Linked DNA regions of Mus musculus: all the other regions are reported to be linked to region 2. The links are microRNA targets in miRTarBase. Many come from high-throughput screens and were not tested one by one. Region 2 holds a microRNA gene; each other region holds the end of a gene's coding sequence.

What was found. The annotated mature microRNA mmu-miR-142a-5p reads CAUAAAGUAGAAAGCACUACU and lies in region 2 at 1,146-1,166, shown strand. An mRNA with a match to its seed (bases 2 to 7 or 8) in the 3' UTR can be bound and repressed. Matches are read on the target gene's strand: a 7mer-m8 pairs with bases 2 to 8, a 7mer-A1 pairs with bases 2 to 7 and ends in A, and an 8mer does both.
Region 1: the mRNA of Cd28 is a reported target of mmu-miR-142a-5p. Seed matches in the 3' UTR shown: 7mer-m8 at 1,382-1,388.
Region 3: the mRNA of Wwp1 is a reported target of mmu-miR-142a-5p. Seed matches in the 3' UTR shown: 7mer-m8 at 3,497-3,503.

The regions. Positions count from the first base shown.
Region 1 is chr1:60,769,168-60,773,375 of GRCm38, forward strand. It overlaps Cd28 (CD28 antigen), which reads left to right. Exons shown (of 4, transcript NM_007642.4): 4 at 490-4,192. The coding sequence ends at 618. Among named protein-coding and RNA genes, the nearest start is that of 2310016D23Rik, 7.2 kb to the right of the region's middle.
Region 2 is chr11:87,755,722-87,759,969 of GRCm38, forward strand. It overlaps Mir142 (microRNA 142), which reads left to right and starts at 1,143; the gene lies at 1,143-1,206. It overlaps Mir142b (microRNA 142b), which reads right to left and starts at 1,234; the gene lies at 1,120-1,234. It also overlaps a transcript of Tspoap1 not described here.
Region 3 is chr4:19,608,045-19,612,280 of GRCm38, forward strand. Wwp1 (WW domain containing E3 ubiquitin protein ligase 1) reads right to left here. Exons shown (of 25, transcript NM_177327.5): 25 at 252-3,769. The coding sequence ends at 3,670. Among named protein-coding and RNA genes, the nearest start is that of Gm42259, 8.1 kb to the right of the region's middle.

The sequences.
Region 1 (4,208 bases), not on the chromosome of region 2:
GTTTACCTCTAGTTCCAGGCTTAGTATCATTCCTCTTTCTCTGCTCCTGGTAGAATTTGGTGGTTTTTTTTTGTTGTTGTTGTTTATTTGTTTGTCTTGTTGTTGTTTAATTACAGAAAAATAGCTTACTTAATGAATGATTAAAGTGGGAGTGTTTAATCTATCCAAAGACTAAAGGCTTTCTATTGCATTTACATATCAATAGTGAATATGTTCTAAAATACATTCTTGGGCTTCGGATTAGATGACAACATTGAGAATAATGGTTGCATTTTTATAAAACAATTTCCTTTAGATTTTTAGTAGAGCTGTTGATAGTCAGGCTTTGATTAGTCATTATCCTAGTCCAAGGCACACAAAAAGGCTCCTCAGGGTCATTTAACAGCTGATGATCTGAGTAATTATCCCTAAAGTCTTAGAACCCCTCCAATAATACCTCCTCTAAGTCCTTCCATATTGACCTTTTTCTTTTTTCATTTCCCCCCCTAGACAAATAGTAGAAGGAACAGACTCCTTCAAAGTGACTACATGAACATGACTCCCCGGAGGCCTGGGCTCACTCGAAAGCCTTACCAGCCCTACGCCCCTGCCAGAGACTTTGCAGCGTACCGCCCCTGACAGGGACCCCTATCCAGAAGCCCGCCGGCTGGTACCCGTCTACCTGCTCATCATCACTGCTCTGGATAGGAAAGGACAGCCTCATCTTCAGCCGGCCACTTTGGACCTCTACTGGGCCACCAATGCCAACTATTTTAGAGTGTCTAGATCTAACATCATGATCATCTTGAGACTCTGGAATGAATGACAGAAGCTTCTATGGCAGGATAAAGTCTGTGTGGCTTGACCCAAACTCAAGCTTAATACATTTATTGACTTGATTGGGGAAGTTAGAGTAGAGCAATCAAAAAGATCATTCATTCAGCCTTGGGAAGTCAATTTGCAGGCTCCTGGATGAGCCCTGCCCCGTTTTCACTTGCCAGCACATTTCAGTCATGTGGTGTGATAGCCAAAGATGTTTTGGACAGAGAAGAAAGGATAGAAAAACCTTCTCTTTGGCTAAGTTGGTGTTTGGGGTGGGGATAGGTTAGAGTATAGTACTTAACTATTTGAAAAATAATGAAAACACTTTTTTCACTCATGAAATGAGCCACTTAGCTCCTAAATAGTGTTTTCCTGTTAGTTTAGAAAGTTGTGGACATATTTTTTTAATGATTTCTGACCATTTTTAATCACATTGACTCATGGAATGGCCTCAAAGCACCCCCCAGTGCTTCTTTCCTCATTCCCGGTCATGGGAACTCAGTATTATTAATAGTCACAACATGATTTCAGAACTAGATAGCCCTCCCACACCAAGAAGAATGTGAGAGGAAGTAAGGTCACTTTATGTAAAAAAAAAAAAAAACAAACGCGTACACATATGTATGTATACATACATACCTATGTGCACACACACACACATATACATACACACAAAATGCTATGAAGAGTTATCTGTTTAGTAGCCTGTTATAGTCAAATCATTTTAAGTTTCAACTTCTTACAGTTGGGCCACTTGTTGTCCTTTGTGGATGGATATCTGAAATTGTGTCTATATATTGCTAGTCATGATACTGTGAACAAAAAGGGTAGTGTTAGTATTTGTCAGGGTGGTAAGGATGCATTCCAGGAAGCTTCCTCTGAGGAAGGGAATGAGGTCATTCTTGCCATGTATGAAAGACATAGATGTTTTCCAGAAGGCACCATTGGGAGCCCCAGTATAAGTTCCTTTAGACTCTACAGTTTAGAGGGATTTTATATGTCCTAGGACTCAGGACTCCAGAACTTTGTGGGCTCAGCTGCTTCATACCATGGGGATACATTGACATGAACAATTATTTTGGAATGTGTCTTTAGGGACGACATCAAAGTTCTCAAGTACCTACAAGACCTGATACTGGAATGAAGGTGGACTTTCTTTTTTGCTTCCAGTTCGGATCAACTGGAATGTATCTGGGGACCTTGAAGAACGGCTGTCCAGCTGTCTTCACCATTTGTATAGTGCTTTGAATTATTCAGAGGTTTTAAAGTCAGGAAGACCTGGTTTAAAAAACATTTCATTATGAGTTAAATGGCCTCAGGCAAGTCACTGTTCATCCAAGTCTATGACTCCTCAACTGTAAGATGGCCACACTGAAACTTGCTAAGATCCTCTGGCCTCTGCCTCCCAAGAGTTGGGATTTCAGGAGTGCACAATCATGACCCAAACTCGTGATAATCTCTCAGCTTCAATAACTTTCCAGCTAATTGGAATATCCTGTAATCAAACATGAGGCATTTCCCCTCCCCCCACTGTTTTTGTGTATAAAGAGATCTTTAAACTTTTTTTTTAATATGAGGGGTAAGAAAAGATAGGAATCTTTTAATTCTAGACAGAAGATATTGTGCTTTGGTTTTTTTTTTTTTTAATGGCTTCTATTCTGTGCTTTTAATTAAACCAGAGAAGGCCAAGATTAGCCCTACTTGTGTGATAAAAGAATGCTGGCCCTTGTGATTGCAGTCAGCCTCTTGACACATAGAGTTCTTGAATCTAAGTTATAAAATTATATTTGAAAATGACAGAGCTGGAGAATTTATAGAAAGGGTCATAGCAAATAACAAACCATTTTTTTTTAAACGGAAAGATTTGGTCTTTGGCAATCAATAACTTTGTTTTCTAACTGGAAAAGGAGGTTTACTGGAGATGAATCACACCTGAAAGTTTTCATACCTCCTCTGAACACAACCGAAACATAGGTGTCCAAAGCCTTTCGCTCTCGGTATGAACCAACAGGCGGGTTAAAAACACTGGGTCAGAGTAAAGCTTTTGCAGTTTCAGATGTAGTGTGTATGAAGAAAACTATGTCACTTGCTGCTATTATTGTAAGAGTCTAAGAACTAAAGGTGTGCCTGTAATTTCTAATTATGAGCTCACCTATTTGGTACCGAGCATGCCAATTTTAAAGAGACCCGGTGTACCTTATAGCTACATCCAATGATAAAATTACCACACTAGCACATGCCTGTGTTTAAACTCGTGCTTTAATGTTTTTCTTAGGGCAGGTATGCACCCCCTTTGCAGTGAGTTGGGAGAGATTTTGAAAAAGTGTATGACAAACATTTTTAACACCTTTGGTTTCCTCTCTCTGTGTCTCTTTGTCTCTGTCTCTCTCTTTCTCTCCTGTGCATATGTCTCCCCTCCCTCACTTCTCTGTCTCTTCCTCTCTCCCTCTCTCTGTCTTTCTCTGTGTGTCTCTCTGTCTCTGTGTATCTCTCTGTCTGTCTCTTTCTCTGCAGATTTTCAAAACGTTGTTTTTCTATGGAAGAAATACAAGCTGTGGTTGGTTTGCTACGAGTCAGTAGCAGTTTATCAGTAGGCCAATGTTTTATCTCTTGGAGATTTCAGTCTGGGTTTACCCAATGTATTCTCTGTAATGTGACTGCTGGGGACAGATATAACTTGATTGAGCCTTCAAATCATTTAGGTCTTCAATCATTTAGTCAACGGAGTGAGCCACTAATCTGCAATGGCTATTTTAATATGCATACTGATGGTCAAATGGATGTCTGATCTCTCATCCCAGCTTTCTGTACTACCATATGGGAACTATATGTAACTTGTATACTTACCTGAATATGTTAAATTCAACTACATGGTAAGATGGACCAGAAATTGCAATGTTCATGTCCATATAGCCACCATTAACCCAAGTTAAGCACAGTAGTGTGGGTTCTCTCAGGACTTGTGAATGAGTTTATGCTCTCTACAAAGACAGGTGAAGCTTAAATCTCTCTTGCACTGCTATGTTTATGCAAATATCAAGATTGTTTCTGTACCAGGGACTTAACACATTCTATTCATACTATTTTCCCTGTCTACAATGTTATTTCATAGATATCTACTTGGTTTGCTCTTACTTCCTTGACATATTTGCCCAAATGCCACCTTCAACTGTAGTTAATTACCTGTACAACCTGTCTCCATGCCTTGTTTTATTTTCTCTATAACTCTACTAATAGGTATTTTTCTTATTTATTGGTTTATTGCCTGTTTTTTTTCCTAAATCTACACCGGATCTCCAAAGGGAAAGAACTCCATTTGCTTTGATTTTATTGCTGTATCCCCAGTGCCTAGAATAATGCTTAGCCTGCAATAAATATTTATTCATTGACTAGATGGATTTCACGTG
Region 2 (4,248 bases):
GGAGGGGCTGGGTGCCAGAGCTCCCTAACAAAGTTTTAGGCTTAGGAGCAATGACTCTTGGATCCACTAGCCTTCACTGGGGACAGCTTTTACAATCTTTTAAATCTTCTTGGGTTTTTTGTTTTTTGTTTGTTTGTTTGTTTTTTGGGGGAAGCTGGGAACCGAACCCAGGGCTTTGCGCTTACCATTGAGCTAAATCCCCAACCCCATCTTTTAAATCTACAGAATTAAAAAAGGAAAAATTAGCCGGGCGGTGGTGGCGAACACCTTTAATCCCTGCACTCGGGAGGCAGAGACAGATGGATTTCTGAGTTCGAGGCCAGCTTGGTCTACAAAGTGAGTTCTAGGACAGCTTGGGCTATACAGAGAAACCCTGTCTCGAAAAACCAAAAAAAAAAAAAAAAAAAAAAAAAAGGAAAAATTGGCTTCTGAGCCCCCCTCTCGAAAATAACAGTCTCTAGCTCTTAGGGAGGAGGGCCAGAGAGTAGGGAGGAGTTGCGAGAGTGGGAGAGTGGGCTGAAACAGTGAGACTGGTATCGGCAAGTGGTGCCCAGGCATTTTTTCCACGCAACATGGCCGCCATTTCTGCCAACACACTTGGATTCCAGCTTGAGGAGCAGGAATGAGGGAGTCAGGGGCCTTGTTCCAATGGGGAGACTAGAGACAGAGGCGTGTGGGAGTGGAGGCCTTTGTCTAATGGGAAGGCTGGGGACCGAGGCCTTTATGGGAGGAGGCCATGGCTGCCTCCGTTGGATTCAAGACTGTGGGTCATACGGCTGGGAAGCACCACCCAGGATGTTGCAGTTCTAAAGATGGGGATGAGCCTTCTGGAGTGGCTGTGGTCTTTACCTGAGTGTCCCCGAGAAGGGAGAGAATAGGGTGGAAACCCGGAGGGGGTGGGGAGTGGAGGGAAGAAGGTTACAAAGAGGAAGTTGGGCGGGGGAAGAAGAGGCTCATCTGGCGCCATGTTGAGTCACCACCCACAAGGCCCAGGGCGGGCCCTCTAGGGGGCCACAGGCAGGGTGGAGCGGTCCCTGGGAAGTTACACGGAGGGGAGGGGGCAGGGGCCTTTATTAAAGCAGGAGTCGGCAAGAAAAGCAGGTGGCCTGAAGAATCCCCGTGGACAGACAGACAGTGCAGTCACCCATAAAGTAGAAAGCACTACTAACAGCACTGGAGGGTGTAGTGTTTCCTACTTTATGGATGAGTGCACTGTGGGCTTCGGAGACCACGCCACGCCGCGGCCCCCTGCCACCGTCCTCCACTCCAACATCAAGGAAACAGGTGAGCATCTCTCACACGCCCTCATTTGGCCAGGCTCCCCGAAAGACCTTCATGGCTCCCCCAAAGCACGGTGCTTCCTGACCCCTGATACTTGGGGAGACACCACAGCCGCTCTCTCGAATGCACGTCCGTGAGGATATGGGGTGGGGCCGGATGTGTGGGGCCTTGGTCCTGCATCGCAGGCCGACTGGGGGTTCGAGAAGGGAGCCGGATGGATGGGTAAGGGTCACGGGGCCCTCAACACTAATAAAGAATGGACTGGTTTCGCTTTTGTCTGACTCTGTTATTGGGGTTGTGTGAGTTCCCCGGATGCCCGGGAACAGAACTGACGCAGAAAGACAGGCTTCGCTGACATGAGCAGAAGACCTTGGCCTGACTAAGACACAGCCTGGGGGTGGGAAGGCTTGGGCCACCGGAAGTAGACTTTGTAGCAACGTGAAGAAAGGGTATGAGATGACCTCTACCTTTGGCTCTAATTTCTATGCTAGCTTCCTTTTACTCTCTATACCTCCAAAATGAAGACTGTTTGCCTCTCGTTTTGATCTAAGAAAGTCTATAGAGCCGTGGTTCTCAACCTTCCTGACTCTGCGACCCTTTAACACAATTCCTCATGGTTGTCGTGACCCCCCAACCATAAAATTATTTCCGTTGCTACTTCATATGTATAATTGTGCAACTGTAATGAATTGTAATGTAAATATCTGTGTTTTCTGATGGTCTTGAGTGGCCCTGTAAAAGGGTTGTCTGCCTCCCAAGGGATTGCAGCCCATAGCTTGAGAACCATTGGTCTAGAGGAACTTTTTTTTAAAAGAGATTTTATTATATCTAAGTACACTGTAACTGTGTTCAGACTCACAAGAAGAGGCCATCAGATCTCATTACAGATGGTTGTGAGCCACCATGTGGTTGCTGGGATTTGAACTCAGGACCTTTGGAAGAGCAGTTAGTGTTCTTGACCACTGAGCCATCTCACCAGCCCAAGAGGATCTTTCTTTCCTTTCCTTCCTCCTTTCTTTCTTCTCTCTCTCTCTCTCTCTCTCTCTCTCTCTCTCTCTCTCTCTCTCTCTCTCTCTCTCTCTCTCTCTCTCTCCTTTAATTTTTTGAGACAGGGTTCCTCTGTGTAGCCCTGGCTGTCCTGGAACTCACTCCGGACCAGACTGGCTCAAACTCAGAAATCTGCCTGCCTCTGCCTCCCAAGTGCTGGGATTAAAGGTGTGTGCCATCACTGCCTGGCTCCAAGAGGATTCTTATTAGTGTAAGAGTTGGGCAAAACCACGCTAGCACAGTGTGTGCCCACCTGCCTTGTACATGTCTACACAGGTCATTGGTGTTAATAAAACACACTTTCACCATCATGTGCATTTCATCAGGGCCTATACACCGATGCCAGCCACATGCATGAACTGTGACATATAGACAATGAGACGTGGCTGGTGTATCATATGGGTATACAGTCACCTAGGCCAAACACATGTTCATTAGTACTTACACATATAATGCCAAAGAATATACCCATTAGTGACATTCACATGTGGTGGCTTCATGTACATAAGACACTAACCGCGAGATCATCAAGATCTCTCTGGATTGCCACATTGATGAATTGAAAAACATTTAATTTGTGTGTGTGTGTGAATGCTGGTGAGTGTACCAATGTACTGTGGTGTGCATTTAGGGCCAGAGAACACCTTGCGTGGAGGAGTTCTCCACTTTGGCCACGTGGTTACTGGGGATCAAACTCCAGTGGTCAGGCTTGGTGGCAAATGTCCTACCCACAGAGCCATCCTATTGACTAGGATTGAAAAACAAAATGTGTTTTTGATTGCAAGCCAATTGTAGATGTAATTACAACCCCAGCAACTGGAAGAGGAAGGACCAGCTTGAGCTAAGACTCTTACCAGAGAGGAAGCTGTCTCTTTATAATGTATAGACTTTGCTTGTTATTCTTGTGATTTCCTCAATAGTACAGTACAATTATTTTAACATTCACATCGTATTATAAAATAGGTATAAACAATCTAGAGATGATTTAAGGCATGGGGGTGGGGTGGGGCTGGGCTGAGGATATGGTTTAGTGGTAGAGTGCTTGCCTAGCATGCAAGAGACCTTGGGTATACAGAAGGATGTGTATAAGCCATGGGCGGATATTTCATCACCTTACATAAAAGGACTTAAGCATTTGAGAACTTAGTGGGGTATCCTGAGATGATCTTATAGACAGTCCCCTTAGGCATGGAGGGGTGAGAATATATATACAGAGACTGCGTGCACATCATGCCAGGCAAGTTTATCATGTACATAGATCATTGTATGCCATTGTACATTATTATATGACAATGTATGTCATAATGTGTTAGTGCTGTATAATGGCATGATATCTGTGATTTATAGCAAAATGCAATGATAAACTCATACGTAATTGCATGCACATAGACATTGTAGCAAATAGACATACAATGACACAAAACCATGCACAGATATATATCCAATGAGATTCATAGACAAAATAGCACACATACATGCAGTGATCTCCATGTATACACAGACATACTATGCATACTCTTCTATACATACATGTAATATGACATGCATATGCATGCTGACTGAAAGTTACATGACATAGCATGTGTACTGATGTTTAGACTGCTTTAGAGAAATGAATGTTACCTTCTCTCTTATGCAACTCCAACCCCTACCCAGTTCCATTGGCTCTGGCCTGGGTGGAGCCTACTGTCTGGGTGGGGGGTGTTCTCTATGCTTTAGCTGCTATTCCATAGGGGTGCCACATGAGGGCCCTCGACCTTGGCTTGTCTTGCGTCTAGGAGCAACATTCTTATCTCTCGAGATCTAGGTGCCCCACATACAGGCAGACACCTAGGTTGGGGCAATTCCTATGTCCTTGTTCCCAAAAGCCATTTTTTTTTCATAGCAAGTAAATAAATAAAGCCTAATGCTAGACAGAAG
Region 3 (4,236 bases), not on the chromosome of region 2:
TTATTTTATAGATTTTTATAACTACCACCACAGGCAAGATAGGAATTTGTTTCGTTTCAGAGACCTAGTGCTCTTTATAGTCATATCTAGCCACCTTCAGTTCTCTCAAATTCCAGACACACGCTACAACTAATCTAGTATATATTTGCCATTTTAAGCCTTTTAGGCAAATGTAATCTTATAGAATATGATCTTTTGAGATTGTGCCTTTTCACTTAGCCAGACCTCTAATAACTAAGTTCAAGCAATAGTTTTTTCCTTTTAGTGTTAATATTTTATTACATGAATATACCACTTTATCCATCTGTTGAAGGTATTTAATATTTTTAAATTTGTGGCTATTAAAAATAAAGGCATTTACATTGATATTTATTGTGGCATTGTTTACAAACAAGCTATGGAATCAGTATAGACATCGACCAAGTGGACAAACAAAATGTATATATTTACAAACCAGTTTTATTCAGTCATAAAAAGTGAAATTACCTCATTTGCAGTCAAAGGATAGAATTGAAGATGATCTTGTTAAGCCATTATAGGATCAGATGGATACTGCATGTGGGTCCATATTTTTTTTAAAAAGACATCAAAGTAGAAGGCTGATTATTTGAGAGGAAAAAGGAGGCCAACATACTATAGACACAGGCAATGGGTGATTTCCTTTCCTTAAGTGTGTCTGCTGTCTTTGAGGATGTGTGAAACCTGAATTAGGGTTTGTTTACTGGTAGTGTAGTGGATGAAGGGCCCAGGTTTCTGAGCACACTAGGAGAAAGCTGGGGGTCTTTTTGGTTATTTGGTTTCCCTCTTTCCCCTCACGTTCACCACTGAACTTCTCTGTCACTTCTTGACAGTGTGGCCTACCAACAGGCAATGGATGCTACAACACAAAGTGGATTGGTAAGACTTGTCTTGTTTCTTAAGAAACATAATGAAAACAAGATACTACGTTAATCACAAGGACCAACAGAATTAAGTGTTCATGAAAAAGATGTAGAATTAGTAATAAAAAGAAATACCACCATTTTAATTGCATTCTGTTGAATTTTGGAGTCGAACTTTTAGCATTTAGGAAATAGCACATTTAGATTGGTGTCAAATTCCCAGTTGACTTGATTTCTCTGTTCAACACATTAAGAAAAGTTGGACATGTTACAGAAGAACATTTATTTCATGTTTCAACAACTGATTTGTTACTTCAGTGTTTACTAGATTATGTTATATTTAATTAAATGTCAGGATCCAGTAAGCCTGCAGTAAACTACATTTGTCTGGCATCAGTTTACTCTGAATACTCTAGTGCAGGAACCATGATGGCCATCAGTGCAATGTTAGGCCTCCTTTGAGAAAATGAACATGTAGTAGTAATATAGCAGGGCCATCACATGGTTCTACAAAAACGGTAGTCTCCTAATGTGACAGTTTAGGACATGCAATAGTAAGCCTGTTCAGATTCTGGGAAACGCAGTTACAGCTCCCTCCTATATGTCAGGAGCTTTCTCAGTTCAGAAGCAGCTTACTAGTTAGGGTTCTTTTTGAGCCCCAAACACAACAAAGGTGGTCTGTTGATGGAGTGGTTATAAAACACCTAATTTAGAACACCTAGACCTAGGAGGATAATTGAAGTCAGCTGGAGAAAAGGGTAATAACATTTTCATTTTCTAAAACAAATAGTAGCTTCTTTCCCAAAGACAGGTAGGTGACTGAGCTGACAGGTAAAACTGTTTTAAGCCGATGATCCATTCCCTAAGCTCAATTTACTGGTGATGTTGGGAACTGTCACTATAATAAAGCATCATTATTAACCTGTCTCTCGGTCCTCCTCACCTCCAACTTTGTCTTACTGGATTCAGTGAGCCAGATGTGGAGGGTCCAGTTCAGAAGAGGGATGGGAAGGAGACAGCAGGGGTGATTCACCTCTCTTTAAGACTTTGACTACTGAGTAGATAAACAAGTCTATAGGCCTGAAGTCTATAACTGGTATGAAAGGTTAAGAACCTGATGAGGTCTGCAGACTAGTCTTCCCCAGAAGGCTGGCTTGATCTTGTGGGTTCTGTTCCTCACGTGAGGTAACCTAACAAAAGGGATGCTCCCTGACATCCTACCTGAAAGCAACCGTAAACCATATCTGCAAAGGGATGCTGTCACATACCTCCACTGAATGAAAGCCGATACTTTCTGTCATAGCAAGTTTATTATCTTACAGAATAATTTATGCAGGACTTTTGAAGACTGGCCATCATTTACTATATAACTTGCCATATGTTAGAATTAAAAAAATTCTTTTAAGCTTGAGAATAGCCAGATTTTCTATAGTTTATTCAACTAAGTAGACTACTGCTTTTATTTGTGAATTCTGAATAAAACTGAAGAACATAATCTAAAGTAGAAAAATAAAATCTTAGCAAAACTAAACTAGTGGATAGAAGTTATAATTCTAAGTGAACTTCATAGTTACAAAATTTTAAGTTAATGAACTTCGCAGTGCATATTGAAAGGATAAAAATGGAAATTAATGTTTTATATTAATTAGGAAGCCCAGTTTGCTAAAAGTAGCAGTATCATTCACATTAGATTTTAATTTTTTTCATACACCAAGAATGCCCTTATAATGAAAAGAAAAATCAGTGTCATTTGGAGAAAACTTGCTCTGTATAAAATAGGGAGCACAAAGAATTCTTTTAATATACCTACTGAATTTAGAAACAATTCTGATTTTGTAAGGAAGGGGTGGGGACATTCAAACACTAATAAAAAGTACTTAGTGTGAGCGTTTAAATACTTCTGCAGCTTTTCAATCCATTAGAACATCTCTGACTTCATACAAGTAAACCTTGAGCACAGAAGCAGCCAAGTTCAGTACCTTTTATGTATCCCTAAGCATTAAACTATCAAATCATTAGCAATTGAATTTGAAGAACATTACAAGTTTAAAAATGTAAGTATAGAGATGCCTGATTCTTTAAATTTCCACAAATACCCAACATCCGAAAGTAAGATGTAAATAGACCTCTGCTCTGCAGCAAGTCAATCCCAGCTGCTCCTAGACACGACTGGATCTATCACACGACTTCTGTGTCTACTGATATAACAATGATGTGATTAAAAAAAACCTATTCATTTAGTACAACTTAATGAGTTGAAGTACTTGTCTTCAGAAAAGCCAGCAGCAATTTAAAAAAATACACTTAAAGTAAGAGTTGGCTTAAGCCCTAAATTCCTTCCTGAACAGCCATGCAGCTAACACAATCCAATGTCACCTAGGGAGAAGAACATGGCACATATGCACTTTTCCCCTGGAAAACAGAAACAAGGCAAAGCAAATTCAGAGTTTTGTGAATGAACGGCTGTCATGTTTAATACACCTGGCGCTCTATAAAACTAGAGCCACTGTCATATATGGTTATATAGATATATACTTTTTAATAAATTCTCTTGCTTGCGTCAAAATTTAAGGATGATTTTTTTTTCCTGGTCAGTCATTTAAAGGGAACAATAAATAAAGTAGAAAATGATGAAATGTTTTGCATATTTCTGTGGAAGAACGGAAAACATTTATACTTTGAAAGGTTCAGAAAATTCACTGTACAGAATGAGCAGCTTATACACACTATCTGTGCAATTTTTCTTGGCTGGGTATTTAAATGCAAGAGCTTCTCCAAGACAAGTCAGTCATTCTTGTCCAAATCCCTCTGTCTCTTCTATTGCAAAAAGAAGTTTTTCCTTTAGTTGTTCATAACTCTTATATGGTGGTAGATCCAAGCGATTAAAACTGAACAAAAACAAAAACAAAATCAGATGTTTTCAATGAAATAAACTGACGATATTTGCAATATAGTATTCTTTAACAGTACATTGAAACCTGATTATGTATATAAAAACTTTGCCAAAGGTATCCTAACAATTTAATATAATAACTAGTATATTAACACATTTAAATTAAATAAACGAATCTATATAAAATTTAAGTCGTAAAACATCTATATATTTGCCAAAGAATAATGGTATTACAAATAATGTCAACATTATAAAGACTGAATTTAAAATGGGTTTCCTTTTGCTATTCTGTTGTCATGGGTGATGAGGTTCCATAATTTTTCTTAGGTTAGTTAATTACATCCATCCACTCATTCATTCATTTTCTGAGTTTTGTGTGCAAGATGTTCCAGTAGCTGGTAATACACTCATGAAAATCCTGAGTCCCTTAGCTCACAGAATTATGTTCTGATAGACTCAGTC